7 linked regions of the Mus musculus genome follow. The protein of the gene in region 2 interacts with the protein of the main gene of each other region in a pairwise test. Links are inferred from orthologs where the notes say so. Each region holds a gene or a part of one and is shown on either strand. Other genes may lie near its edges. The genes, in order: Fam104a, Vcp, Rnf115, Ubxn8, Vamp2, Ubxn2a and Rpl9.

What was found.
Region 1: the proteins of Vcp (region 2) and Fam104a interact in binary tests that used the Homo sapiens proteins (3 or more experiments, as listed by UniProt). The link is inferred for Mus musculus from reciprocal best matches to the Homo sapiens genes VCP and VCF1.
Region 3: the proteins of Vcp (region 2) and Rnf115 interact in binary tests that used the Homo sapiens proteins (3 or more experiments, as listed by UniProt). The link is inferred for Mus musculus from reciprocal best matches to the Homo sapiens genes VCP and RNF115.
Region 4: the proteins of Vcp (region 2) and Ubxn8 interact in binary tests that used the Homo sapiens proteins (3 or more experiments, as listed by UniProt). The link is inferred for Mus musculus from reciprocal best matches to the Homo sapiens genes VCP and UBXN8.
Region 5: the proteins of Vcp (region 2) and Vamp2 interact in binary tests that used the Homo sapiens proteins (3 or more experiments, as listed by UniProt). The link is inferred for Mus musculus from reciprocal best matches to the Homo sapiens genes VCP and VAMP2.
Region 6: the proteins of Vcp (region 2) and Ubxn2a interact in binary tests that used the Homo sapiens proteins (3 or more experiments, as listed by UniProt). The link is inferred for Mus musculus from reciprocal best matches to the Homo sapiens genes VCP and UBXN2A.
Region 7: the proteins of Vcp (region 2) and Rpl9 interact in binary tests that used the Homo sapiens proteins (3 or more experiments, as listed by UniProt). The two-hybrid records come from large-scale screens. The link is inferred for Mus musculus from reciprocal best matches to the Homo sapiens genes VCP and RPL9.

What each region holds. Positions count from the first base shown.
Region 1 is NC_000077.6:113,681,335-113,685,678, reverse strand, and holds the start of Fam104a (protein FAM104A), read left to right. Parts: upstream 1-1,527; 5' UTR 1,528-1,593; coding exon 1,594-1,817; exon of another isoform or gene 1,818-1,864; coding exon of another isoform or gene 1,865-2,091; intron 2,092-4,344.
Region 2 is NC_000070.6:42,997,708-43,001,779, reverse strand, and holds the start of Vcp (transitional endoplasmic reticulum ATPase), read left to right. Parts: upstream 1-1,272; 5' UTR 1,273-1,601; coding exon 1,602-1,618; intron 1,619-4,072. UniProt on the Homo sapiens protein: Necessary for the fragmentation of Golgi stacks during mitosis and for their reassembly after mitosis. Involved in the formation of the transitional endoplasmic reticulum (tER).
Region 3 is NC_000069.6:96,786,479-96,789,136, forward strand, and holds part of Rnf115 (E3 ubiquitin-protein ligase RNF115), read left to right. Parts: intron 1-2,091; coding exon 2,092-2,207; intron 2,208-2,658. UniProt on the Homo sapiens protein: E3 ubiquitin-protein ligase that catalyzes the 'Lys-48'- and/or 'Lys-63'-linked polyubiquitination of various substrates and thereby plays a role in a number of signaling pathways including autophagy, innate immunity, cell proliferation and cell death.
Region 4 is NC_000074.6:33,631,931-33,635,566, reverse strand, and holds part of Ubxn8 (UBX domain-containing protein 8), read left to right. Parts: intron 1-207; coding exon 208-278; intron 279-1,939; coding exon 1,940-2,065; intron 2,066-3,636. UniProt on the Homo sapiens protein: Involved in endoplasmic reticulum-associated degradation (ERAD) for misfolded lumenal proteins, possibly by tethering VCP to the endoplasmic reticulum membrane. May play a role in reproduction.
Region 5 is NC_000077.6:69,087,169-69,091,412, forward strand, and holds the start of Vamp2 (vesicle-associated membrane protein 2), read left to right. Parts: upstream 1-1,359; 5' UTR 1,360-1,457; coding exon 1,458-1,459; intron 1,460-1,937; coding exon 1,938-2,058; intron 2,059-2,562; coding exon 2,563-2,721; intron 2,722-2,807; coding exon 2,808-2,859; intron 2,860-3,481; coding exon 3,482-3,498; 3' UTR 3,499-4,244. UniProt on the Homo sapiens protein: Involved in the targeting and/or fusion of transport vesicles to their target membrane. Major SNARE protein of synaptic vesicles which mediates fusion of synaptic vesicles to release neurotransmitters.
Region 6 is NC_000078.6:4,904,734-4,908,883, forward strand, and holds the start of Ubxn2a (UBX domain-containing protein 2A), read right to left. Parts: upstream 2,821-4,150; 5' UTR 2,616-2,820; intron 1-2,615. UniProt on the Homo sapiens protein: Acts to repress the ubiquitination and subsequent endoplasmic reticulum-associated degradation of CHRNA3 by the STUB1-VCP-UBXN2A complex in cortical neurons.
Region 7 is NC_000071.6:65,388,558-65,392,687, reverse strand, and holds the start of Rpl9 (60S ribosomal protein L9), read left to right. Parts: upstream 1-1,256; 5' UTR 1,257-1,312; intron 1,313-1,695; 5' UTR 1,696-1,696; coding exon 1,697-1,742; intron 1,743-1,833; coding exon 1,834-1,949; intron 1,950-2,204; coding exon 2,205-2,300; intron 2,301-3,077; coding exon 3,078-3,210; intron 3,211-3,536; coding exon 3,537-3,617; intron 3,618-4,008; coding exon 4,009-4,115; 3' UTR 4,116-4,126; intron 4,127-4,130. Other genes in the region: Lias (lipoyl synthase, mitochondrial isoform 1 precursor), read right to left, coding at 299-468, 1,015-1,059.

The sequences.
Region 1 (4,344 bases), on a different chromosome or scaffold from region 2:
AACAAACAAACCCCCCAAACCCTGAGTCTGAAACCACTTTACAAGATAAAAATCCATTTGTTTAAAGCAACCATTACTTTATCGTTCATAAAAGGCACACCCAAACTGTTTCCCACCGAGTGCACCATAAGTCTTCTGTTAGTGAGAATGCACTGCCGCACTGAAGGGCACACGACAAAGACAATACATGGGCTTTCCAGTTTTTTTGTTTGTTTTGTTTTGGAGACAGGGTTTCTCTGTGTAGCCCTGGCTGTCCTGGAACTCACTCCGTAGACCAGGCTGGCCTTGACCTCAGAAATCCGCCTGCCTCTGCCTCCCAAGTGTTGGGATTAAAGGCGCGCGCCACCGCCGCCCGGTTGGACTTTCCAGTTTTAACGGTAGACTTTTTTGAGATGATGGGGTCTTACCTGGTAGCCTTGTCTTCCCTGGAACTCTCACTAGGTAGACCAGGATGGCCTTGAACTCACATAGATCAGCTTGCTCTGCCTCCTGAGTAGTGGGATTAAAAGGCGTGCATTACTACGCCAGACTCTACACCCTACACTTTAACAGGGGTTTCGTTTTCCTGCCTGACCTCTTGTCGACTCTCCTAAAGACCCCCATGCTTATGGATCACTGTTCACGTTTGGCAGAAACTCTGAATATCAGTTTGTGTAAGGTGGGGAGCTGATAGTACTGAGTCCTAGACAAAGAACTGGATTATGCTCCTGACAGAGAAAAGGGAATGCGTCTGACAACCAAAGTTAAGACTTCCCCAAGTCTTAGAGTACACGTATTCTGGTGGTGGTGGTGAGATCACATGGGAGACAAGGTCTCAAGTAGCCCAGGCTGGCTTCGAACTTGTTACACAGTCGAGGATGATTCTGACCTCCTGGTCTTGCAGCTTCTCCTCCCAAGAATGGGGATGACAGGTGTGCGCAACTCACGGCGGGCAGGGACCTCGCGATTCGCCACTGATCAAGCTCACCTCGCCAGCCGCGAGGCAGCTCCGTCCACACCGCCGCGTTCCCACGCCTGCCGGTCTCCCCCACACCTCTCGGTCCGGCCTCTTCCAGCAGGTGGGCGTGGCCCTTCCCGGTACGGAACTCCGTTATCCCGTTCGCCTGTTCCGCACTCCTCTCTTGACCTGCAACAAAGGTCGCGGAAAAATAGCCCAGCCCTTAGCTACTCCATGGAACGGGCTCCGCACCGTTCGGAGACGCGAAGTTCCACGCCGCACACTCTTAGAACCCGGAGCCCACCAACACCTTCCCAACCAGAGGACCCCTGAGCCTGTGGCCGTCCGCGTCTGTGCCTGATGGAGCTCGTCTGGTTCTTTTTAAAATTTTCACCTTAGAGAGGCTTAACGCAGAGACAAGTATCAATGATCGTCAAATAATGTAATTTATCTAAAATCTGGCTTGACTTTTACGTCGTGTCCTGTTTTGTTTTTGAACAGGCGGCTGCCCCGGACACCTAAACGGGGGTCCTGGAAGTTCCCGGTCAGTCTTCCCTCTGGGACCCGCCTCTTCCTGCGTGCGCGGTGATGGGAAAGCGCGGCCGGCGTCCCGCCTCCGCGCAGCCGCAGGAGGACAGTACCACGGCGCCTGCGACATGGGGAGGCGCGGAGGCGACACCGGAAGTGGCTGTGGTCCGGGTCGGCCCGAGGGGGACTCAGCGCCCGCAGCAACCACCCGCGCGGCGGCGGTCAGAGCTCAGACCCGTGCGGGTGGGCGTGGCGGGCGCCGGGACACAGCTCCGACTGTTCGCTGTCGGCGCGGGGCGGCGCCGCGTCGCTCGCCTTCACCAGCTGCCATGAGCGAGCGCCTCCGCCCCAGGTGAGGGAAGGGGGGAACCCGCTTTCTCCGCGGCCCCTCGGCCGAGGATGTGCGCTCTGGAGCCGAGGGGCGGACGGAGCCGGCGGGGTGGTGGTGCGAGGCTCTGGGCTGCGCTGCTCTGCGGTCGGAGGAGGCGGAGGGGAGAAGGTGGCGCCGCCTCTGACACTTGGACCCCGTGGGCAGCCAGGGAGGCGACGCTCTGGAATCCAGGGCTGCCCCTTCTCCGTCTTTTCCTTGTTTTCTTCGTCTTCTGCCCTTTCCGCTTCGGAATGAGGTTTGTTCGGCCCGACGAGACGGACGGTGTGGTCCTTCCTAAATTGAGGCGGGCGGTGGTGGTAGGGGGATGGGAGGGATGGCCGATCTGGAAGAGATGGCTCCCTTCGAGCGAGGCGCCTCGGAGAGGGGACGGGATGCTTCGGGGGCGGGGAGCTGCTGGCGCCCCAAGGTCAGGAGAAAGGCGGGGGTTGGGCTTAACCCCTGCAGCTGGGAGGGCTTAGGGCAGACCGCAGCGCTGTGCCCTCCCTCATCTGATGGACCCGGGTGGGTGGTGACCCACTCTCGGTTGTAGCATTAGCAGGCAGGATTCTAAACAGTTTGGATGAGGGGCCAGTTGGCTGGGAGCAGGGAGGTGGCTAACACCACGAGTTACTCTCAACCCTCACTAGGCGGGCGGCCCCTCGGGGCTTTAGGCCCGATCCAGATGAAGTTTCTTTTCTCCTTATTTTCCGTCTGGGAAGAAGTAAGTTGGGACGCCTTACCTCAGAATGAAGAAGGCTGGCTTTATTTCTTACTGGAAAGTCTCCTAATAAGATGCTTGACGATCTATCTACATCTACGCTAAGTTGTACTTTTTCATTTCTCTGGTGGAGAACAGAGAACGGATTTAGAGAGACTCATTTATTTATCTAAGTCTATTCAGGCTCGCGGCTCTTTATTCCGTAGTCGTCTCAGGCTTAAAGAAGGTGGATCGTAGGCTTGCTTTTTTATTTTCTCTCATAAATGATTTTACTTATTTTATTTTATGTGTATGAGTGGTTTGCCTGTGTATATGTATGTACATCACGACGTGCGTGTCTAGTGTCAACGTAGACTCAGAGGAGGGCTGGGAACAAAACCCCAGTCCTCTGTAGGACTAACAGGGGTCTTCCGTGGCTGGGCCATCTCCTCAGCCCTGAGTCTTGTTCCTTGCATTCTTTGGTTATGAATGTAATCATTGTTTTGCAAGGCTTCTCCCTGAAACAGTTATTTCATGGGACTGGGGTTCCCCAACATTCTGAGATGACTTGATCCAGTGGTGAGAATTTTAAGGTCCCTAGACTGAATTGAGTGACTGATTTTGGTTCTATAGTAATTGTAGTAGAAAGCCTGTACTTGTGTCAAAAAAAAAATGATCAAACTAAATTGGAAATTAGAAGGTGCTTGCCAGAATTATAATCTGGTCCATGGCATTAATGTACTCCAAAAGGTTTAATCTTACTGATTGTACAGATAGAATGAAGCCATAATCTTGCCAGTTATTAGAAATCATTGGAAGGTTCAAATTAGGTCAAGTTGGAATTATGGACCAGTTACAGTCACACCATTAGAGTTAGGGCTGTGACCTTTAGATGCAGCAAGCCTGAGCTGACTGCCATCTTTTAGATTCTTTTGGAATGTCTCCCTCATGTGACAGCCCTCAGCATTTTCTGTCACTAACAGATTTTTTTAAATCTAGTGCTGCAGACAAGTAGTGTAAGTTTGTGCTGATTACAGATTCTTTTTATCTAATATACTTATAGAAATCTTAGTGTGTTTATATATTTTGGTGACTTTTTTTCCCCCTCTTTCTGGTGACTTCTTTAAAAACCAGTTATCAAGGACAGACCTTTCTTGCCTAATTTTTATTTATTTATTTTTTTATTCTTTCTCATCACCCATGAGCTAGCTTGGCCCCCTCTGGTGTCAGACTTTCTCAGTAGACTGAGAACACTGTAGAAGGGTGGTTGTATGGTAAGGAAGTATGCCTTATCACAGATCCTTAGCGTCTACATATGAATTGGGAGAGAGACACCTATAGTAAGAAGCATTTGAGATGGACTATGATTGTGCTTGTCTTTAACCCCAGCCCTCAAGAGGCAGAGGATCCGAGTTCATGGCTAACTTGTTTTGTATAGCCAGTTCCAGGCCATCCAGGCTACCTGGTGAGACCTTTTATAATAAAATGAAAACCAGTTGTTGTACTTTCTATTTAAGTCTGCCTAAGGTTCTTTGAAGAGGACCAGGAAAATAGGACAGAAGTGAGATATGAAAAGTGATGGAGCCAGCCATTCTGGGGGTGATAGATCTAGCAATTGTTTTTCCCTAAGTGGAAAGGAGGTGCCTAGAAAGACAGTGAACCGACTGTAAACTTGTGATCTTGTCAATTATTAATAAGGGTATCGAAAGCTGAGTGTTCTAGGGAGGCATTTAATAATGAAAACTAAGAACAACAAACATGGAGCCTAGTAGAGCTCATTCTTAGCTCCTGACCACTGAAAAGAGGCCCGAG
Region 2 (4,072 bases):
CAAACATCTCTCAGGTCAGTCTGTGTGGGTAGGAGGTGAAGGGTGAATTGAGTCAACCAGAGCCAACCAACCATCTTTTGACTATAATGAAAGTCAATGGATTGTCTTTTGGGACACAAGGACCTTAAGTCACAGCACTTGGTTGATTTTCTTGCTCTTGGGCACGACTGCATTTCTGAGTGTTCTGCAGTTGTCCTTGACTTGCATGAACCTCAGTGCTCTCCCTCCCCAGATAATATTTATACTCTATGGTAAGGAGTGTGTACTCCCAAGGCCTGAGAAACTGCAAAACCTGCATGATTACAAGAGAGTGCAAGGGCAATAGGGTGAAGTAAGAGCTGGGGTGCTGATTCAGAACTGGGGTCCAGAGAAGAAGAGGGGGTGGGGTAGGTGGGGCTAGGTTTTTGTTTTTTGGTTTGTTTGTTTGTTTGTTTGTTTGACTCGAGTTTAGTTATGCAGCATTATCTGGCTTCAAACTTTCAATCTACCTTTAGCCTCTGGAGTACTGGGATCTAGGATGTACACCACCATACCCAGCTAATTTTACCTTTTAAAAAATTTTATCTAATTAGTTTTGAGACGGGGTCTCACTATGTAGCTCTGGCTGGGCTGGCTGGAACTCTTTTTTTTTTTTTTTTTTTTAATAGATCAGGCTGACTCAAAAGTCACAGGTTGCTGCCTGCCTCCGAAGTGCTGACATTAAAAGCATGGACTACCACATTGCTTTTAAAATTTATTGAAATACTGTTTGGGACTAGAATTAAAGATATGGTCTTGTATCCTGGGTTGATCTCCATCTATTAGTCTTCCTGCCTCTCATCTTCCCAACTACTAAAAGTACAGACCTAGTCCATCAACCACGCCCTTGGTTGGAGCCAGTGTTTTAAAGGAGCATGAAGGATTTTAGTATGGTGGAGTAAGAGGATCCCTAGGATTGGCGAGAAATGAACAATGTGGGCTATTATTACAACCCAACTAAACTAATAAGGGTTCAGGCCTTTGTGCGAGGTTCTTCCAGCTGCTTATAAACTAAGGAGCCAATCAATTGAAGCCAAGTAGGAGAGGCCTCCTCCGAGGGATAAAGAGGATATGGCCTATTGCCTTTGTCGATTGGTCAAGACTCCCTATCCGTCGAGGAAGCGTAGTGCTGCGGCCAATTGACGTGGCGTTACTAGGCGTGTTGCAGCCTTGAGGCGGGGCCAGGCCACAAACGAATTTTCTGATTGGTTACGGTCTGCGGGTTGCTGGGGAGAGGCACGGAGAGGCGGGCACGAGTCCCAAGGCCGGCGCTGATTGGTTGGGGTTAGAGCAGCTTTCCTTCCGATGATTCGGCTTTTCTCGGTTCAGTCTCCGTGAAGCGTTTGCAGCCGTCGTTTGATTAGTCGCTGCCCCCCTCGCGGATTAGGAGCTAGCGTCTCCCGCCCGCCCGCCTGCCGCCCCGGTGCCCCTGGGAGGAAGCGAGAGGGAGGCTGCCAGAGGGTTTGTCACTGCTGTTGCTCCTCCGCCTCAGCGAGTCCAGCCCCGGCCTAGTCGGTCGCCTGCCTTTCTCATAGCCGTTACCCTCAGGCCGCCACAGCCGCCGACCGGGAGAGGCGCGCGCCATGGCCTCTGGAGCCGAGTAAGTGTCTGCGCGCGCCCGCCCTCCCGCTGGCTGCGGGGGCGCGCACCGTGGGACCCGCCGTGCTGGCTAGGCCCGGTCGGGCCGCGTCGGAGAGTCTAGGCCGGGAGGGAGAGAGAGGGAAGGAGAGGCCAGGGACGAGGGAGGGCCTCAGGCCGGGCTGTGCACCCGCGCGCCCCCTAGGTCGGGTCCGCGCTGGGCCTGGGTCGGAGCCTGGACAAGATGGTGCTGTGTCATGCAGGCCCCGACCGCCTGAGTAGCTCCCTCGGCGCGGCGGCCCCGGCCTAGTTAGACTTTGGGGTCCACACTCCCTGCGTGGAGACCTTTGGCGCTGGCACGCCGGTCGGCCATGTCGCCGACCACACGCAGAAGACCCTGAGCCTGAGAAGGGAAAACACTGCAAGCCCGAGGCCGCGACTGGGCCCGGTGGGCGTGGACTTGGGGCCACGTGAAGGCCTCAGGAGCCCTGAGACTCTAGGGAAGGCCGGGCCAGGGAGATCTGAGGAATCCAGCCCGGTCTCGGTGGATCTGGGACGGTGTCACTGCGGGAAGTTGGCATCTTCTGAACTACGTGTAGTGAGGGGCTGTTAGGGAGAGGGCAAGTCATGCCCTTCTCAAATGGCAGTTTTTCACTGTGGGAGACCTGTTGTAAACACCCGGAAGTTTTAACTAGGGGCTTTTTTTTTCGTTAGTGTTTTGCTTTGTGTATATATTTTTGTTTTTGCTATGATCGGAGGTGGCTAGAAAGGAGTTGGTTTTCTTTTATTTTTAGGCGCTGAAGTTAGAATCCGAGTTGTTTTTATTCTTTGTATCTTAGCTTTGAGAGCTTGTAGGTTAGAGTTGGCTTAACTCTTCAAAATAAACAGATCTCTATCCCCAAGCATCTATGTTGAGTCTCTGGACTCTTATAGCCCCACCTTCATCTTTCAGAGAGCATAAAATAAAACCTAGCCATCTCAGCCCATTTAGTTAGAAACTAGAGCTTCCCATACAAAAACAAAGCAAACAAAAAACTAGCAAGTGTAGGAAAATATACAAACCCAGAGGTTTTGAGGCCATTAGGTGTTTTGAGTGTTGTAGGTTTCATTTCTTTGGGATGAAGTATTCACTCAGTTGTTTGGCTAAAAGGACTTTTTTTTTTTTTTAAATAGCTAGGCTAGGATGGGTGGTTTTGTGTACATACATAATCCCAGAACCTGAAAGAAAGGCAGAATAGCACATTACTAGGCTATAGGCTAGCTGCACTGGGAGTCTACTTATTGAGCCCTTGTCTCAAAAAAAACAACAAAATACACTTTTAAAATAAATACTCTGTCAGTCTTTCAATTTTTTTTTAAGTTAAAATTCTTTTTTTTTTGAGGCAGAGTTTCTCTGTGTAGCCCTGGCTGTCCTGGAATTCCCTCTGTAGACCAGCCCGGCCTCAAACTCAGAGAGGTCTTTCTGCCTCTGCCTCCCAAGTGTTGGGACTAGTGGTGTGAGCTGCCACTGCCCCATGTTTTGTCCTTTGATATCAGGGACTCAAGTAGACCAAATTGACCTCAAATTCAGCCTTGTAGTCAAGGCTGTGTTTGAACTAGTCTTGCTGCCACCACCTTCCATATAAGGGGGCTACATGAATGTCACAGTATGCCCCACTTATATCTAGATTTTTTTTTTCTTTTTTTAAATTAGAATTCCTTTAATCTGGCATCATAGGCAGTTTCTGCCTTCATTGTGGTGGTTCTTACCTGAATTTCCAGGTTCCTTTTGTGGTCTTTGAGTTCTGGAAAGGACCTGAGTCATGCAGATGACAGGAGATTCCCTAAAGAACATAGAGAGCTGGAGTTTACCCTCTGCTCTTTTGGAGGTACCAGCTCTAATCCCCACGGGTAGCTGGAGAATTTCAGGAGTTTAAGGGCCTGCTACTCAGCCAGGGCTAGGGTCTGGATTGGTAGGTGGATTGGATGGAGGTTGTCCTGAAAAGCCCCTTTGAGAATACAATACAAAGTGATAACTTGAGGCACTCCTGTAAATCAAACAAGATGCACAGCCTCTGGGGGAAGATATTGTCGTAGATGTGGGCCAGTAGAAAATCTGGTGGACTTACACATATTTATTTTTTGAATCAACAAGAGCTAAGGAAACTCCCATTACCCTATAAAGTAATGGTTAGAGATGTAACAACATAGTTGAGTGTTGCATGCCTGTGATTCTAATAAAGACAGGAGGATCACTGCAAGTTCAAGGTCATCTTGGTTTACATAGCCAGGCAGAGCTATATATAGCAGGACCCTTTTTTAAAAACAAAATAAGTGAAGGTAAGCTATTTCCTGTGGCAGTGCTTTTTTGTTTGATTTTGCTGTCTCATCTCTACTCTAGAAGAGTGCTTGGTAGACATGCATAATATGATTACTGCTATCCTTGAAACAGTCTTGGTATGCAGCTCAGGCTGACTTGAAGCCTTTTGCCAGTTTT
Region 3 (2,658 bases), on a different chromosome or scaffold from region 2:
AGTCAGAGACCATTCCACATCTAATAAAAGAATAGTTTATATCAACAAACAACACAGCCCTGCTGGCGTTCTTCCATGACCTCATCCTTCTGATAGGGGGTCCTCAGATGGAAGAGCAAGGGTGTGAGAGATCTTTAGGAAGGTTCTCCTGGAAATATGTTAGATGCAGTGAAGAGGAGAGAGAACAGAAGTGGGAATTGGGGAGACTCTACCTGGAGTTCAGATTGTGTTCTAGTGATGGTTGCAATGCTGACAGAAAGGAAAAGACAGATTTAGAGGTGTGATTTTCCGATTGTCATGGAGGCACACAACTTTAATCTCAGCACTATCAAGGTAGAGACAGGAAGATCTCTGAGTTCAAGGCTGGCCTGGTCTACATAGTGAGTTCTAGGCTAGCCAGGACTACATTGTGAGATAAGCAAGCAAGCAAGGAAGAAAGAAAAGTTCAATTTTAAAAAGAGTTAGTTTTATTACTGATTACATAGTAAGATGAAGGAGGCAAAGGATTATTAAAGGTGATTGTAAGGTTCCAGAGCTTTATAAAGGCAGCACTGCCACCATCAGTGATGGACAATCATGAACTGGCCCTGGGTCTGCTGAGATGCTGTGACAGTTAATTCTGAATTTATTGATTTTGAGGTGCTAGCTGAGAGTCCACGTAGAACTGAGTGGGACTGTCTTGAGGTTGGTGTTAGGGGAGTCAGCTGGTGTGAGGTTTTGTGTGTATTTGGATTGCTAGAGTTAGAGTTGGGATGCTGCCTGGAAGGCTGTTGGTTGTCGCAGCCGTGACGTTGAGTGAGAGCTGGAGTTAGGATGAGGGATGGGAGGGAGGAGAAGGGAGGAAGAGTCTCTTAAGGGGCAGTTCTCCTCAAATGCTTCCTCCTTGATCATCATCAGGGCCTGGAGCATAGCTCAACCATTATACTATTAACCACATTTCTGCAATTCAGAATTTGCCACTTGGAGCTCTCACTACATTGATTTGGAGTCCTGAGTGTACTTGTCCTCTGGTATAGCCTTTAACAGCTTCAGAGGACCTTGGGACAGCTACACTGAAGAGCGTAGTAAGGAAAGCACAGGAGACAGGTAGTTAAGGCAGGTAGTAGCCACTACTAAGGGTGCTCAGTCCCTGATGGTGGACAGGTTGCCACTGTTTTCTAGGCAGGACCTGCCTGACAGGCTGTCACACATTAGGCAAGATGCTTTCCCTATTTAATAGACAAATAAGTTTCTTCTCACCCGTTTTTTTTTTTTTTTTTTTTTTTTTGTGGCTTGTTTTGTTTGGTTAGGCAATTTTTTTTTAGAATTAGTTATTTATTTGCTTAATGTATTTGAGTACTTTTTCTGCATGTAAGACTGCATGTCAGAAGAGAGCATCAGATCCCATTACAGATGGTTGTGAGCCACCATGTGGTTGCTGAGTATTGAACTTAGGACCTCTGCAAGAGCAGTCAGTGCTCTTAACTGCTGAGTCATCCCTCCAGCCCTGCTTACCTATTTTTTAACTTAAAAACTCCATTTGTTTTGTGTATGTGGGCATATGTACCACAGTGCATGTGTGGAGGTCAGATAACTGTGGAAGTTGATTTCTTCTTCCATCATGTGAGTCCCAGGGACTAAACTTAGGTCATCAGGCTTGATAGCAACCCTTTTATTCGCTAAGCCACCTTACTGGGCCAGCTCTGCTAATTCTTCTAACTCATTACACTAAAGATTGGGCCTATTATATGATTCCTACCAGGTCTATTGGGATTGGCCCCATTCATTTGCATGTCTATTACTATTTCTGTCTCCATTTTGAATACAATTCATACGTCTCATCTGCCAACCACTTAGATATAACTTTTCTCCTCCATCCCCTTGTTGTGTACAGTGGGGGACACCTACGTTTCTTGGGTTGTTAGAGACATCTGGTTTGGTTTTGTTCTTTTTTGTTTATGAGGTAGACTTGGTAGCCAAGGTTAGCCTTGACCATCCGTGCTTCTGCCTCTCCCATGCTGGGGCTATAGGCCTGCATCACTTGCCTGCTCTTGGTTGTTTCCTTCCTTCCTTTTGCTTGTCACTTTAAAAGTGCACATCTTCCTCCAACAGATACGGGTTTAGAATGTCCAGTATGCAAAGAAGATTACACAGTTGAGGAGAAAGTCCGGCAGTTACCCTGCAACCACTTCTTTCACAGCAGCTGCATCGTGCCCTGGTTAGAACTGGTGAGTACAGCGGCTTGTCCCGTGACAGGGCAGCTGGCCCAGCTGGCTTTGGCTGGGCGAGGCTGGTTCAGAGTAAAGATGTGGCTGCAGTTCAGAGAGCCAAGTAGATGAGATTTTAACTTCCTTGCGGACCCTAGTACTGCTGGCATTGTTTTGTTTAATTATCATCCTCTCGTAGTGCTTCTAGCCACAGGACAGCCCCCCCCCCCCCCCCATGGCACTCCAGCAGCTTCTGAAGCACAGCTAGCTGATTGTGGTTGTCCCCATGGTGACTGGGCAGAGTTGGAAAGCTGTAACAGAATTGATGTAGAATAGCCTACCTACAGAGCCCAGAACATTTAACTTTCTGTCCTTTAAAGGTTTAATTTTTATTTTCTAATCATGTATCTATGTGTGTGGTTGGAATGGGTATGTACACATGAGTACAGGTGCCCTTGGAGGCCAGGAGAGG
Region 4 (3,636 bases), on a different chromosome or scaffold from region 2:
TGTAGACCAGGCTGGCCTTGAACTCAGAAATCCGCCTGCCTCTGCCTCCAGAGTGCTGGGATTAAAGGTGTGCGCCACCACCGCTGGCACATGTTTTGAATATTTGAAAAGTATGTAGTGTTCATATCTAAAGACTTAGTCTCAGAGAAAATGCATTTGATTCTTTGAACTTCAGAATTAAAAAGTGCTTCTTTGTTTTGGATTCAGAAGGAGAAAAAGAGAATGAGAAAAGACGGAGACTCGTGAGGGAAAGGCAACAGGAAGCCCAGGGTGAGAAGGTAAGGCTCAGCGCTTGAGGGCGTGAGGGCGCCTTGGGGCTGCCTCGCCATCTGCGTGGGAACAATCACTGATGGCTAATGCAGAAGGCATAACATTTTACCTTCCTTTCTTTTCTGAGACAAGGTCTCTTGTATTGTAAGGCGACCTTGAATTTACAATGTCATTGAGGATGACCTTTCTTCCACTTCTTAAGGGCTGGGATTACCATACTCAATGTTGACTCTTTAAAATTACAATTAAAAAAAAACCCTTATTTATTACATTTTATTCCTTCTTCATTCATGTGTCTGTGTGACACATGCGGAAAGAGTTGGTTCCCTCCTTGCCCCAGGGTTTGAACTCAGGTGGTCAGGCGTGGAGACAGATGTCTTTACCCACTTGGACAGTTGGACTTGCCCTGGCCACTGTTGTAGCCACTGATGGTCTCGGTCTCAGGATCTTCTGGTCTCAGTTTGGTGGCCTGAGTGCTGAGATAAAGGATATGTGCTTCCATTCCCAGAACATCCATGTCTTACATATGATATATATGTATGTGTGTATATATATAATTAAAAAAAATTATTTCCGAGTGTTAGTCACTGTTCTGTTGCTGCAAAGAGACACCACAACCAAGACAACTTTTCTAAAAGGAAGCTTTAATTAGGGGCCTGCTTAGTCCATGATCATCATGGACGGAAATAAGTATGGTACTGCAGGAGTAGCTGAGAGTTTTACTGCCTGGTCCTCAGGTAGCAGGCAGAGTGGAAGATGCTGGAGCTGGCATGGACTTTTGTTTGTTTGTTTGTTTGTTTTGTTTTGTTTTTTTGTCTTTTGAGACAGGGTTTTTCTGTATAGCCCTGGCTGTCCTAGAATTCACTTTGTAGACCAGGCTGGCCTCGAACTCAGAAATCCGCCTGCCTCTGCCTCCCAAGTGCTGGGATTAAAGGCGAGCGTCACCACACCTGGCTTGGCATGGACTTTTTTTTTTTTTTTTTAAAAATAAGTACACTGTAGCTGTCTTCAGACACTCCAGAAGAGGGAGTCAGATCTTGTTACGGATGGTTGTGAGCTGTGGTTGCTGGGATTTGAACTCAGGACTTTTGGAAGAGCAGTTGGGTGCTCTTACCTGCTGAGCCATCTCACCAGCCCCCCATGCCCGACTTTTATTTCCTTTTTTTTTTTTTTGGCATGGACTTTGGAAACCACAAATCCCACCCCCAGTGACACACCACCTCCCACAAGCCTGTCTTAGGGTCACTATGGCTGTGATGAAACACCTTGATCACAGCCACTCTTATAAAGGAAAGCATTTGATTGGGGTCGGCTTACAGTTCAGAGGTTTAGTCCATTGTCTTCTTTGCTGGACACATGGCAGCGTGCAGGCAGATGTGGTGTTGAGGAGGTAGCTGAGAGCTCTACATCCTGATTGGCATGCAGCAGGGAGAGAGAGACACTGGGCCTGGCTTTAGCTCCCCCTCCCCCACCATGCATAACAAGGCCTCCTCATTGAAGGATTGCATTTCCCAATCGTGCCAGCCCCTCACCACTAAGCATTCAAAGAGATGAGAGCATGGGGGAGGGGGGCGTTCCTATTTAAACCCCCTTAGGTTTCAAACCTTGCTCTTGATTTAGAGCGTAGACAACACTAATGTATAGTAATTGCTCGTTCTTGCTCCACCAGGCCAGCAGATATATAGAGAATGTTTTAAAGCCTCAGCAGGAAATGAAGTTGAAAAAACTGGAGGAGCGGTTTTATCAGATGACAGGGGAGACCTGGAAGCTGACCGCTGGCCACCGACTCCTAGAGGTTAGAGAACTCTGCTTTTGTGTTTTGGATACTATTGTTTGTTTCCTGTTGGTGTGTGTGTGTGTGTGTGTGTGCACGAGCATGCTCGTGTACACACACACACACACACACACACTCACACACACACACACACACACACACACACACACACACACACACACACACACACACACATTTTATGCCCAGTGTGTACTTGTCCATATAGGCACATGCTGGAGGTAGTCCCAGTCCTGTATTCTACTTTGGAGAGCTCACTCCAGCTGAGCTCACAGTTTTACCTAGGCTGCCTGGACAGGTCTGGGTCCTGACCTAACCCCCACCCCATCCCCAACTCCCATGTCACCCCGCCTGTTTAATGTATGGGTCTGGGGCTTCTAAACTCAGGTCCTTATGAGCAGAGCAGCAAGTGCTTTCTCACTGAGACATCTCCCCAGCTCCTGTGTGTCCTTTACATATATTGCTAAGGCCCATATTTATGCTCATGTTTCCTTGTATATGCAGTTATTTGCATGTATGTGCTTGGTAGGGTTTTGAGTCTGGGTCTTGCTGTGGAACTCAGGCCAGCCTTGAACTCATTTTGTTGCCATGGTTGACCTCCCGCTTGCAGCGATTCTCCTGCCTCTGTCCCGTAAGTGCCGGGGTTGCAGGCAGACACCACAGCGCTTGACTCCGAATCAGTTTTATTATTCGGTGCATTTGTGTATGAAGTGGTTTTATACTGTGACAAATAGGTGCTCTCTGAGAAAACTGCCGAGTCACGCTGTTCTGAGGAACTTCTGATCTTTGCTTAAGTAAAATATTCAGATACCCAGAGTATTAAGCTCACATTAAGAAATAGATGTATTCATTTTTATTTTATGTGCATGAGTATTTTCCTTGCATGTATTCATGTGTACTCAGGAGAGGGCGTCAGAGTCTCTGAAACTGGAGTCGAATGGTTGTTAGCCTTCATGTGTGTGCTGGGAACCAAACCTGTGTTGTCTATAAGAGCAGAAGGTGTTCTTCACTGCCGAGCCATCTCTCCAGCCCTAAACTCACATTGGATGGCTCACGGTTGGTTCTGTTTCTGAAATCATGGGCAATGATCGTGTGTTGTCATTTGGAAGTGGAAGGTTACAGTGTAAGTATTTTACAGAGAAAAGGGATACCCAGGCTTTACAGGTTAAAGATACCTGTGACAGATTTACAGTAAGGCCACCTTTTGGTGTATGTTGTGTTTCCGGCTTACAGGGCATCTGACATTGTCTTGTAAAGAAAGGGATCCAGTAAAGGTGCCAGGGTGCTTATGCTGTCTACAGAGCCAGTTCTTCCTTGTTTCACAGTCGCAAACATACCATACAATAGTCAAGGGCCAGTAGTAACATTGATATCAATTCTGGGCAGTACACAGTGCCACTGCTCTGTGCAGTGATCTCCTGTGTATGTGGTGACATGTGGACAAGGCCACAGGACATCAAATGTGTTCGCTGTCACACTCCACCTCATTTATGTCATTTTCGTTTTATTACTTTATTTGTGTGGGTGGGTGTTTTTCCTGCCTGTATGTCTGTATGTACTGCACTTGTGGCTGG
Region 5 (4,244 bases), on a different chromosome or scaffold from region 2:
ACGCCCTCCCCTGCTCTTTCACCTCCCCCAGACAGCTGGGAACTCACACCTCAGATGACAGAACTTGTCCTGGGGCTTCTGCTGGGAGGGGGTTGGGCACTGCAGCACAGGAGGCCCTGGGAAGCCCGGGAGTGGGAGGAGGAGGAAAGCCAGACCCTGCCTGTCTCTGAGAATAAGGCTCTCTCAGGGATGTAATGAGTACTCCCACATCAGTAGGTCCTCCCCTAAAATGCCTCCTTCACCCTGGAGGCTTACTAAATAGACAGCTGCTCCCCGGTTCTTTCTCTCCCTAGATGCAGGATGGGAGTGTGTACAGCTGCCTTGGCTGTTTAGTGTACTTAAAATGGAGCAATCAGGAATGGACCAGGCCTAAGAGAATATCCTATTGTGTTATCTAGATCAAGCCATTTGACAAATATTGAGTGTCTCCATACATGATATGCTTAGTGTTTAAGGTGCAGGGAGAGGCAGCTGGTTCTGTCAAGGTCACGTGTGTGGGATTAGTCCACATGTAAAGTTGTGCCTATAACCAAAGTACTTCAGGTGCCACCCTTGTCTACTGTCTCTTTTCAGCCCAGGCTCTATGCTAGAGTCAAAGCTGAGGGGGGCAGTTGACCCCAGACGGGATCCAGCCTGTGGTATCACCAGACAGTCTGGGCCCTTCCTGGAGTCTCTAGCTTGTCTAATCTTTTTGGGGCCTGCTTGGGCTTTACCTGCCAAGTAGTACACCTGGTGAGAACTTCATCTGTAAGGATGGGCAGTTTCTCTCTCTCTCTCTCTCTCTCTCTCTCTCTCTCTCTCTCTCTCTCTCTCTGTGTGTGTGTGTGTGTGTGTGTGTGTGTGTGTGTGTATGCTTCTGTTACTCCTTTTGCCCTGACCCAGCTAGGAAATCAGAAGCCTCAGTCCTCCCTTGAGACATTCACTTGCAGGGTGATGGGTGAGATTAGTCCTCACGATTCCCCTCCACTCCAGCGTCAGAATTCCAGTTATCAGTATTGCTCTGGCGCCTGCCTTGGTCGCTTCTCATTTTTTCACCCTCAACCCATAGACCAGGTGTTGGGACCAGGTCGTAGGATGAGACGTTGGGCTATATGGCATAAGGACCGGTGTATCCTCTTCAAAGATAAGGGAGGATGTATTGGGGGGTGGGGCTGTATGGATTTCGGTTGTGGGTGCCAAAAGAGGCAGGTGCCTTGGGGGCGGCAGTGGGTTGGCGAGCTGGCCCCACAGCCAGACCCAACTAGGCGACCCCCGGCCCTGCAGCGCCCCGCCCCCGCGGTCCGCTTGCGACGTGTCGCCTGCCGCGCCCCGCCCACGCCGCAGTACCCGGATGCGGGTGACGTGCGGCCGCCATCTTCCAGTCCCGGGTAGCCAGCGCCAGTCGGAGCCAGCGCGAGCCGCCGCCGCCGCCGTCGCCGTCACTGCCTCTGCCAAGTCCACTGCCCGCTACCCCCGCCATGTAAGTCAGCCGCCTGCCACTCGCCACCCGCGGATGTTCTGCCCCTTGCGGGCCGCCACCCCAAGGAGTGGACCGGGAAACACGGGGGTCCCGCCGCGGGCCAGGCTGGTGCCCATGACTGCGGGCGGATGCCGGGAACCGGGTCCCTGGCGGTCTGGCACGGGCGATGGCTGCCGGAGGGAGCAGACCCAGCGTCCACCCTCCGCCCCGCCCCTGTCACTATGGCCGTCAGTCATTTCGGGTCGACCCCGGGCAGCATCTACGAGGTCGCCCTCATTTAACCAGAGGGGAAATTGAGGCATGAGGAGGGTCTCTCAAGGTCACGCAGCTCAACCTTAGAGTGACTGTCTCCCATCGGGTGGCCTTCTCGCGCAAGAGAGGACTGGAGGGACTGTGGATGGACAGGTGGATGGGTGGAGCCCCGGCCGTAGGGCCAGAGGCTTCAGGCCTCGAGTCTTAATCCGTTTCTCTTCCTTAGGTCGGCTACCGCTGCCACCGTCCCGCCTGCCGCCCCGGCCGGCGAGGGTGGCCCCCCTGCACCTCCTCCAAACCTTACTAGTAACAGGAGACTGCAGCAGACCCAGGCCCAGGTGGATGAGGTGAGTGTGTGTGTGTGTCTGTGTCTGTGTCTATGTCTATGTATGTCAAAGATGCAAGATGATGGGCTGGCAAATAGGTGTGGGAGCCCATCTTGGGTTGAAGGTAAAGACAGTTTATGCTTGTGGGTTTGGTCGGAGACCTGCCTCATCCCCTTTCTGTCTCCCTGTTAGCATGCACTTGGAAGGGCTGCAGGATGAATCAGTTGAGCTAGCCTGGGGTGTGCCAGCTGGGGCAGGTGTGCTCTGGTGATAGGCGGATCCAGGCCCTATAGATAGAGGGTGTTGCTGAGACATCTGAGCGCTATGGTAGCGGCATGACCCTGATGTGTGCTCCTTGCATGTCCCCTAGGTGTGCTAGGCATGTTCTGTGTATGTCCTTGGCATGTTAGCCTGGAAACATCGGGGTGCATGTTCCACTTGTGCCACGATGGGCACATGTTCAAGAAGTGCCCTCCTTGAGGCATGCCTTGGCACACCCCCCTGCCTCGTGGACCCCTCCCTCAGGTGGTGGACATCATGAGGGTGAATGTGGACAAGGTCCTGGAGCGGGACCAGAAGTTGTCGGAGCTGGATGACCGTGCAGATGCCCTCCAGGCAGGGGCCTCCCAGTTTGAAACAAGTGCAGCCAAGCTCAAGCGCAAATACTGGTGGAAAAACCTCAAGGTAAAGGGGAGGAGATGGGGACAGGTTGGGAGGGGCAGTGGGGAAGTAGGGTGTCACTGTGTCATTCACCTCCCTCTCACTCTTAGATGATGATCATCTTGGGAGTGATCTGCGCCATCATCCTCATCATCATCATCGGTGAGTGGGGCCAGAGGCCAGGGCCCCTCCCCTGGGGAGGTAGAGGCTTTCCCTGGGGAGCCTGGGCTTTGAAGGTCACTAACCTAGTTTTTACTCTGCAACCAAAACACACTTTGCTGCTATTGGCAGTTCTGACTCATTTAGAGCCCAAAACTTGAGTGTTGTATAGCCCTGCTTTCCCTGGTTATGGGTCAATCCGGTTAAGATTTTGGGACTAGGAATACCGGGTGGGGTCCTGGTGTTCGTCTAGGAACCCTTTGAGCCTAAAAGCTCCATCTGGGGATTCTAAAACGGGAGTAGGAGACAGGAAAGGGTGAGGTCTCGAACACCAACCACCAGGATACCACTTACTCCACTGTTTGAAAGCTACCGTCACATACCCAGTGCATTAAAGGTTTTATGCCCCTTTGTCCAGCCGTGGAGTTTAAGGGACCTCAATACCCACTTGCCAAGTCCCTTTGAAGAAACTGAGGCTGAGAGGGAAGGGATGTCAGCCAGTGGGGGAGTGGGGAGGCTTGGAACAGGGCCAGGCCTGACACACTGCTTTCTTTCTCTTTCTCCCCCTCTCCTCGTCCTCCTTTCTCCCCCTCTCCCTCGTCCTCCTCTTGCCCTCTCTCCACAGTTTACTTCAGCACTTAAATCCCTGAGGAGTCTGCCCTGCCTAAGAAGGGCCTCTCCCCCACCCCCAGCCGTTCCTCCACCTCTCAGCCATATCTTTCAGCCCCCTCCCTTGGATCCGTGTGTGTGTGTGTGTCCGTGTGTGTGCCCCCTGTAAATAGCCAGCTGTTATTTATACATATATAATATTATATATATTTGGTCTGTTTGTAGTTTTATTACTAGAAGATTTTTTCCGGTTGTCCTTAACACCCCTTCCTGAGGTTCCCATCACCTCTCTCTCACCCTCTGTCCCTTTTCCTCTTTCCTGATCAGCCCCAAGTCCCTTCATTTGCATCTGCTATGCAATAGCCCCTCTCCTCCTTCCCTTGGATTTAACCGATCTTTCCCTTATCTTCCCTGTACAATCCCAGGCCCTCCCAAAACAAAAGCAAACCCCACAGAAACAAACAGAACACCCCACCTGTCTAGGCTTCCCTAGGCTGCATCTTTGTATCCCTTGGGAGGCTCTGAGACTGGTTCCACTTGGTCCTAAGAATCCCAAGATTTTCTGGGAGCTTCCAACATGTTGATTAGCATATCATTTGCATACGCTGTCTGTTTCATTTTGTTTTGTTTGTTAGTTTTTTGTTTCCTTTCTGATCCATCACTCTTCACTCTTCTGTGTTTTTTCTTTCTTTCTTTTCGGAAGAGTCAGTCTCCATTGGTCCTCTTACCACACTTTTATTAGCACGACATTATCTGCAGGTGGTGGGGAGTCTGGACTT
Region 6 (4,150 bases), on a different chromosome or scaffold from region 2:
CCATCCTCTTAGTCTCTGTGGCATCTATTTCCTTTGCATGGACCCTTCCCTCTTTAAGAAGTCAACCTTCTCCTAATTCCTATTTACCTATAAAACCTCTGCTCAAAATAAATCCACTATTAACACCTTATCACAAATAGCTTATATTTTATTTCTTCCTCTTAGTTTCTATCTTAATTTACCAGCATTTATTCCTATTTAATAATTCTTTACCTAATTATACTATATAATCTAAAAGTAGATTCAATAATCGCCATCATTTCTTAGGACTCAGTCCCTCTCTCCCTCTCTGCCCCACCTCTTCCTTTCTTTGAGATAGGTTGTTTGTTTGTTTTGTTTTTTTGAGACAAGGTTTCTCTGTATAGCCCTAGCTGTCCTGGAACTCACTTTGTAGATCAGGCTGGCCTCGAACTCAGAAATCCGCCTGCCTCTGCCTCACGAATGCTGGGATTAAAAGCATGTGCCACCACGCCCGGCTTGAGATAGGTTCTTATATAGATTGGGCTGGCCTGGAAAAAGATCTGCCTGCCTCTGCCTTCTGAGTGCTGGGATTAAAGGTGTGAATTACAAAGCCTAGTTGTACATAAGTTTTCAAAACTGAATAACATTAACTAAGGCATTAGCTAATTCTCCCAAGCATTAGAATGATGTACTTGAAGCATAACAGCCATTACCCCGTTCATCAGAGCAGCTGTGACTTTCGAAAGACCTTCAAGATCAAGCCCGTTGATATTTCTTCATAGAACAAGAGGGTGGGAAGGGTCATTAGACCCTCCCCTGAAATCACGAACCCTTCCCCTCATTTCCTAGTCAGCTGAATATAATGCTGACAAGTTATGCTTGATGGCCTTCTGAATTCTAGGATTTATGGAGTGTCCAAGGTTAAGAGAGAGGTAGTGGGGGAACTACATCTATGAGCTCTGAGGAAGTCATTATCCATGAGAGGGTAAGACTTCAGCAATGAAGCTGCTTTGGGGTTACCTGTACTCCTGTAAGTAACCTGTCACCTGTAACCTGTCCTGTAACCTGTCACCCATGACCTAGAAGTAAGTCCAATAAATTCAAGGGAAGCTGGCCTCCATCAGCATCAATGGTGCTCTGCTAGGGTGAGTGAGCATTTGTGTGCTGCTCCACAGTAAAAGTTCACTTAAAGTCTTCATGTAGGCCTGGGGTGTAACTCAGAGGTACAAGAAAGAGTATTCAAGCTTATGAAAAAACAAACAAAAAACAAACAAAAAAACAAAAAAAAAAAAACCCTGGATTTGAGCCCCCAAAAGAAGCGCGGGGTGGGGGGTGGGGATGGAATTAAATGCTCAAGGAGCTGGAGACATACATAGTTCATTGAGTGAGAACAATGGCTGCTCTCCCAGAGAACCTGGCTCAATTCCTAGCTCCCATATGGTGGTTTAGTTTTAAAAGACGACGCCCTCTTCTGGCTTTCACGGGTACCAGACACAAAAATGGTGCACAGATATGAATACAGAAAAACGTTGGCCACATTCAGTAAATAACATTTCTTAAGAGTAAGGACAGTGGTGGTGCACGCCTTTAATTCCAGCACTTGGGAGGCAGAGGCAGGAGGATTTTTGAGTTTGAGGCCAGCCTGGTCTACAAAGTGAGTTCCAGGACAGCCAGGGCTACACAGAGAAACCCTGTCTTGAAAAACCAAAAACAAACAAACAAAAAAAGTAAGTGCTCAAGTAGTAACTGCTACCTATCTATAGTATCCTTCCCAGTACTCTGTACTCAGGTGTTCTTTCCTACCTGAACACATTTTGACCTTTGCATTTCACCAGTACAGGGAATAACGTTGACGTTAGTGATGTTATTGATGTTATTCCCTGTATCAACATCAAGATAACTCAGGAGATGAATCAACGCCTGTTATACCAGCACATTTGGGAGTGTGAGAATTCCAAGTCCAGCCTGGTACTTGATAAAGACAAAGAAAACAAAAACAAAGCAAACAAAAAACCGAGTCAAAACAGATAATCAGTTCCCTATTTTTTATCTCGATTACATAGAAACGAACAAACACTGGAAGCCACTCTGACCTTCATTTTTGCTGAGAAGTAATAAACTTTTATTACCACGAGTTTAGGAAAGGGGGGGGGGGAATACTAGAAGAAAAAAAGTCATTTAGGAAAACAGTGAACATCATCTTTCCAAAACATCAGTTAAAGTCTGTTAAGGAAGGCTGGTGAAGTCAATTAGGAAACGTTCAGCCATCTAGTCCTTCTGTATTTCAGGAGTGCGCTTTTCGCAGCGTTCGCCTTCGAAATGGAGATGTCTCGACAGCACCTAACCCGAAGTTTCTAGACGCCTCCAGAGAGAGAAGCGCTATGTCCTTCTACCCAGTTCCGACTCCCGCGGCCAGCAGAGCCGGCAGCTGCAGGTCCGCACTCACCTGGGCCGGGCCGGGCCGGGCCGGGCCGGGTGGAGGCCTCGGTCCGCCAGCGTCCTTCCCGGGCCGCAGTCGCGCGGGCCAGAAGCCCCAGGTGGCGACTTACTGCGGAACAGACGTCGCCGTCGCAGGCGACAGCCCAGGGCGCCACCGGGGAACCACCCGCCCGATACGTCACCCACCGAACATGACCTGGAGCCGGGAAACTCACCTCAGGGCGCGGCCCCACGGCCTAGTCCTCGGTGCCCCGGCTAGGGCAAGCGCCGGCGCCGCTGGGCTGAAGCCCCTCAGCCCCGGAGCGCCGGGAAACCCTGTCGCGACCAGCGGCCTCGCCGCGCAGATCTGACCGGCCTCCCTCAGACTGCCCGGCGCGCGCCGGCGCCGGCTCCGCGCGGCTCGGAGGAGCGAGCCTGACTGACGGGAGCGCGCGTGGACGGCTCCGCGCGGCTCGGAGGAGCGCGCCTGGCTGACGGGAGCGCTCCGGGGACGGCTCCGCGCGGCTCGGAGGAGCGCGCCTGGCTGACGGGAGCGCGCCGGGGATGGCTCGGCGCGCCTGGCTGACGGGAACGCGCCGGGGACGGCTCCGCGCGGCCGTGAGGAAATTGTCTGGCTGAAACGGGAGCGCGCCGGGGGCGGGGCTTCTTGCGGCGGGTTTTCCTAGGCTGCCGCAAGGCGCGCACTAATGGCGGTGGCCTTCTTGCTGCTGCAGGTGCCGCTGCTTGTTGTTTCCTTAGGAGGCGCGGAGAAAGCTGGAACTAGGTGGGCGTTCACCTGATAATCCAGATTTACCTATTTCTTTCTATGCCTCCTGTGCTCTTCCTTAGAGAGTTCTTGCATCCTGTTAGCGAACTTCACCTGAGCCCTATTATCTGAAGAGTGACTGTTAAAAGAAACTTGCCCGCCCTTCGCGTTCTTAAAAAGGCTCTCTACAAAGACCCCTTTCTTTTAGAGGACTTATTTATTTGCTTGTGTATATATTTAGGGGGTGGGGTGAGACAGGGTTTCTCTGTGTAGCCCTGGCTGTCCTGGAACTCAGAGATCCTCCTGCCTCTGCCTCTGAAGTTGGCTTCGGATAGGATTTATAGGACTTCAGAATGCCCCTTATTCTACTTACAGCAAGGTCAGGCGTATACTCTTTAAACACCCGGTCTTTGTCCTTTTAATGATTTTTCAGGACTGCTTGTAACCGCTATCTGGTCAAAATACTTGCTGTACCGACGTACCATTTTTAGTGTAGCATATCTTCTCCAGGTTCCCACACTTTCACAGCCTCAGCCTGAGCCTGGAAGCATCCCCTCTCCCTTTTGCCACTCCAGAAAGTACACTGATTTTGGAATAAACAAAATGTCTCTGATGTCCTGTGTGATTCACTGTCTCCTCTATTGTTGGTTGATTACATTTTCCTACTCACACGTCTTTCTAGCCTTATTTATTCTTCCCTATAGAGGAAACACACGCACGCGCACACACACGCACACGTGGGAGTGGGGGAGAGAGTAAGACTTTGTCTAGCTAATCTAGGCAACTGTTGCAGATCTCATCGATTTTCCTCTATACAATAGTCTCTTTGTTTTTTGTTTGTTTGGTTTGGTTTGGTTTGGTTTTGTTTTTGAGACAAGGTCTGTGTAGCTCTGACTGTCCTGGAACTCTCTAGTTAGACCAGCTAAAGAGACTGACCTGCCTCAGCCTGCTGAGTGCTAGGATTAAAGGTGTGTGCCACTTTGCCCAGGTACAATGGTCTCTTAA
Region 7 (4,130 bases), on a different chromosome or scaffold from region 2:
GAAGAAATGGCCAAAGGGTACAGAAAAACCTACAAGGCTTGATTAAAAAAGAAAAAAAAAAAAAAAAAAAAAAAAAAAAAAGCACAATGCCAGGCAGTGCATCTTTAATCCCAGCACTTGGGAGGCAGAGGCAGGTGGATTTCTGAGTTCGAGGCCAGCCTGGTCTACAGAGTGAGTTCCAGGACAGCCAGGGCTACACAGAGAAACCCTGTCTCAAAAAATCAAAACCAAAACAAACAAACAAACAAACAAAACCAAACAATGCACAAAGTCAAAGTGGAATCTAATGTTCAATTACCTTTCTCCTTTCTGGCGCTTTAAGTTTCCTTTATATTCATCCCATGTACTCTTGTCTGCAAGATCACCAGATACAAAATCTTGAAGGTCTGGTCCATTATGCAAAAATTCCTTTTTCTTATCTGGCAAAGAACTTAATGCTCTAACCGTGAACGCATATCTTCCAAATATCTACAAAAAGGGTTCAGTACAACATTCACTCAGTAGACTCTGAAATAATTTAGTTTTAACCCATTATAATACCAAAGCTAAAGAAATTGATTCAGAAATTATGTAAAACGATTTAAGAGCTCAAACTACGTAGATCAGAACCTGAAAAAGACTCAAGGTGAAAGAACCGTAAGTCACGGCGGCTCAAACACGTAATGCAGCTCTCAGAGGAGGCAGAGTGAGGAGTCGTCTTTGGTCTAAGAATTTAGTTTCAGGCCAGCCTAGATTACAGAGACCCTGATGCACGCTCAGCCATGACAAATGGGGGAAAAAAGTGGGACGCAGATCAAAGTTAACCGCTAAATATAGGTTAGAAAACCTTAGTGGGTGACTTAACATGCCACGTTTTCATGTCTTCTATTCCTAAAACAGGTACTAAAATATGTTGTCAACAAGTTTGCAATAATTAAGATATGCCACAGCTGTCGGGGCTTTTAAAAAAAGGATATCTGGAACAATTTCCCTAGTTTTGAACTTAGGATAAGCAATGGCGTTCCCGCCGCTCACCCGGGACCCCAGGCTGCGAGCTGTATCCCAGCAGCGTAGAGCCATCCCCCTCTTTTAGGTCTCAGGAGTGTCAAGGGATCGAGGGAACAGCACCCCCGGCACCGGACGCGTCCAACAACTCGTCGCTTGAGTCATGACGCGATACGTCGTCGCCGACCGGCGCGACTCGACTAGCTCGGCAATCGAGTAGTTCCGCCTTAAAGCCGTCGCTCGGGTCGTGACGCGACACGCAGGGCCCTGACGGATTACAAGAACGTGATGACGAAAGACGTTCTCTCTTTGCCCCATCTACTGCGAGGTGAGGAGCTTAGGGACCGGGTGCCCCGGGAATCTGAACCCATCCTCTGTTTGGGGACCCCGGCGGCATGGAGCCGATGCCCCAAGGCTTTGTCCCGACTGTCCCCCAGCACGACGTGCGTCCTTGGGACTTGGTGGCGCGAGCTGGAAGTGGCGTTCGGGCTTTCAGGCCCATCTCGGTCGTAGCCCTTCCGCCATGGCGCACCGAGCCGGGCTTCCTTACTCTTCTCCGGGGCCCCCGGTCCAGTCCTTGTCCCGGACACACCTGGGTCCTTGTTGCCGGCTTTCGTAGCTGGCGATTCCCGTTGGGAGCGGAACGCTGCCGGGTCTCGGGTGTAGAGCGTCCCCCGCCCCAGCCGTCTCACCCGGGTGTCTGTGTTTCAGGATGAAGACCATTCTCAGCAATCAGACTGTGGACATTCCAGAGAATGGTGAGTAGATGGCTCCCCGCCGGCCGCTGACGGCTTTCCTGCATGCTCTAAACCCCGGCCTATGGTCTCACCAGTTCACTTTCTCGTTTAGTCGAAATCACTCTGAAGGGGCGCACAGTCATTGTGAAGGGCCCCAGGGGGACTCTGCGGAGGGACTTCAATCACATCAACGTGGAGCTGAGTCTTCTTGGGAAGAAGAAGAAAAGGGTAAGAACTTGTGTCTTCCGATGCTTCGGGTGCTTGCTTGTAACAAAACCCGGTAACCGATGTTAATCCCCCACCCCATGCGTGGCCGAGTGGGTTACTCGGACTCAGTTCTTTTATGAGTGAACTTGGGTGTGTGTGTGTCGTCCCTCTGGTGTCCTGTGCGTGTGACATACGGTGCATTTGTACATGGCTTTGCGTGCTAGTACTCGCCAGCTAAAAGTGCTGTGTTTTAATTCTAAAGTTGTTGTGTTTCAGCTCCGGGTTGACAAATGGTGGGGTAACAGAAAGGAACTGGCCACCGTCAGGACCATCTGCAGTCATGTTCAGAACATGATCAAGGGTGTCACGCTGGTAAGTCAGCCCTCCACTCTGCCCTTTAACCCTTTGGAAGAGGTTCCTTGGGTGTGTATAAATGTCTAGGGCCAGGATGGACTGTACTTCTACAAAGGAGGCACTTTCAGATATTGGGGGTGGGTTAGCACAGATCAGACCCAGGAATTTGCTGGGCAGGCTCCTTTACTTCTGTTTCAGGGGTTTTGTTTGTTGGTAGATACATATAGTGGAGATTGCTGGCTGGTATGTTTGGGACTCAATGGATAGAAAAGACAGCCAGAGTTATACTCTGTCTCAAAAAAACAAACAAAAAGATCTGACTTGTGCATCTCTGAAGTTACTGTTCTAGATCCTTTCTCCCAAAACAGTTAATGCTGAAGAGGTGTTGTTTTATAAACACAAGCTGTACTTTGTATACCTATTGGATCGTGTTACCCTGTTGCTCCTGGGGAGGACTGGGCCTTTTGTTTAGTCTGGAGTCACTTATTATCTGGTGGTGTCTGTAGTAACTCCACAGATGCCTAATGCCAAAAATGAGGATCTTATGCCCTCAAAGGATGAGATAGTAAAAGAAAGCTTCCTCCTGGAGCTTTGGGAAGATGTTGCAACTTGCATATGGTGGGTAGAGTGCGTGTGTTAAATTTCCACGACATGACAAAAGCACCTTAGGGCATTTAGAGCTGACTCTAAATTCAGCCTGGGGAAACTGAAGAAGAGGAATCTCAAAATCTAGGCCAGCTGAACCGAAAACTTTGAGTTTGTTCAGGATGGCTCACAGTTGCTTGTTTGATGCAGGGCTTCCGATACAAGATGCGGTCTGTGTACGCTCACTTCCCCATCAACGTCGTCATCCAGGAGAATGGCTCTTTGGTTGAAATCCGAAATTTCTTGGGTGAAAAATACATCCGCAGGGTTCGGATGAGGACAGGTGTGTGTGGGCCTTGAGGGATGATGGGAACTTGCTACAGTTCTTTGTCCTTGGGTCTGGATGGAGCCTTGGTGTTCGGGTGTGGTGAAGACTGTTGGGTGGTCCTGAGCTTGAGGTTTTCCTGAAGAGGGAGTATGCTGAAATAGTTGTAGGATGCATCAGCCTTTTGTGGGATCTGGGAGTCACATTTGTCATCTGAGATGACAGGAGGTTCAATTCCAACCCTAAAGTCTTAGAGAACTTGATTGGTTGCTTGGGGTTTTAAATGGAGTTGTATTGGTGAGATGTCTCTCCTGTTAACGCTGTTGAATACACACCTCTTTCAGGTGTGGCTTGTTCTGTCTCTCAAGCCCAGAAGGATGAGTTAATCCTTGAAGGAAATGACATTGAACTTGTTTCAAATTCAGGTGTGTATATTTGTCATAACAGACAGTAACATTTTATCTGAGCCTTGAGGTTGAATGTGTGTCTGATTTCTGTTTCCAAACTTCTGAGAAACAGGAAGAAATCCATTGTGGATCTGTTGTGTAGGTATTTGTATGCTGTGCTTTGTATCATGAGTACAAAATGGTTGTGTGTGCTCTGCTCGTAGATGTTCAAATTGGGTGGCACATGGCTGGCTTGGTTGGGAAAGTATTATTCGTTTTTATGTCTATATTGGGGTGTGTATGCCACTGCTCAGATGAGATCCAAGGACAGTGAAGGAGCCCCTCCTGTGTAGGCTTGAGGGATTGAGTTCTAGTTAGTTGGGCTTGTATGAGATGAATTTGGCTATGTACTTTTTTGTGTCCTGTGTAGCTGCCCTGATTCAGCAAGCCACAACAGTTAAAAACAAGGATATCAGGAAGTTTTTGGACGGCATCTATGTGTCTGAGAAGGGAACTGTGCAGCAGGCTGACGAGTGAGGAGGCCTCAGGTGG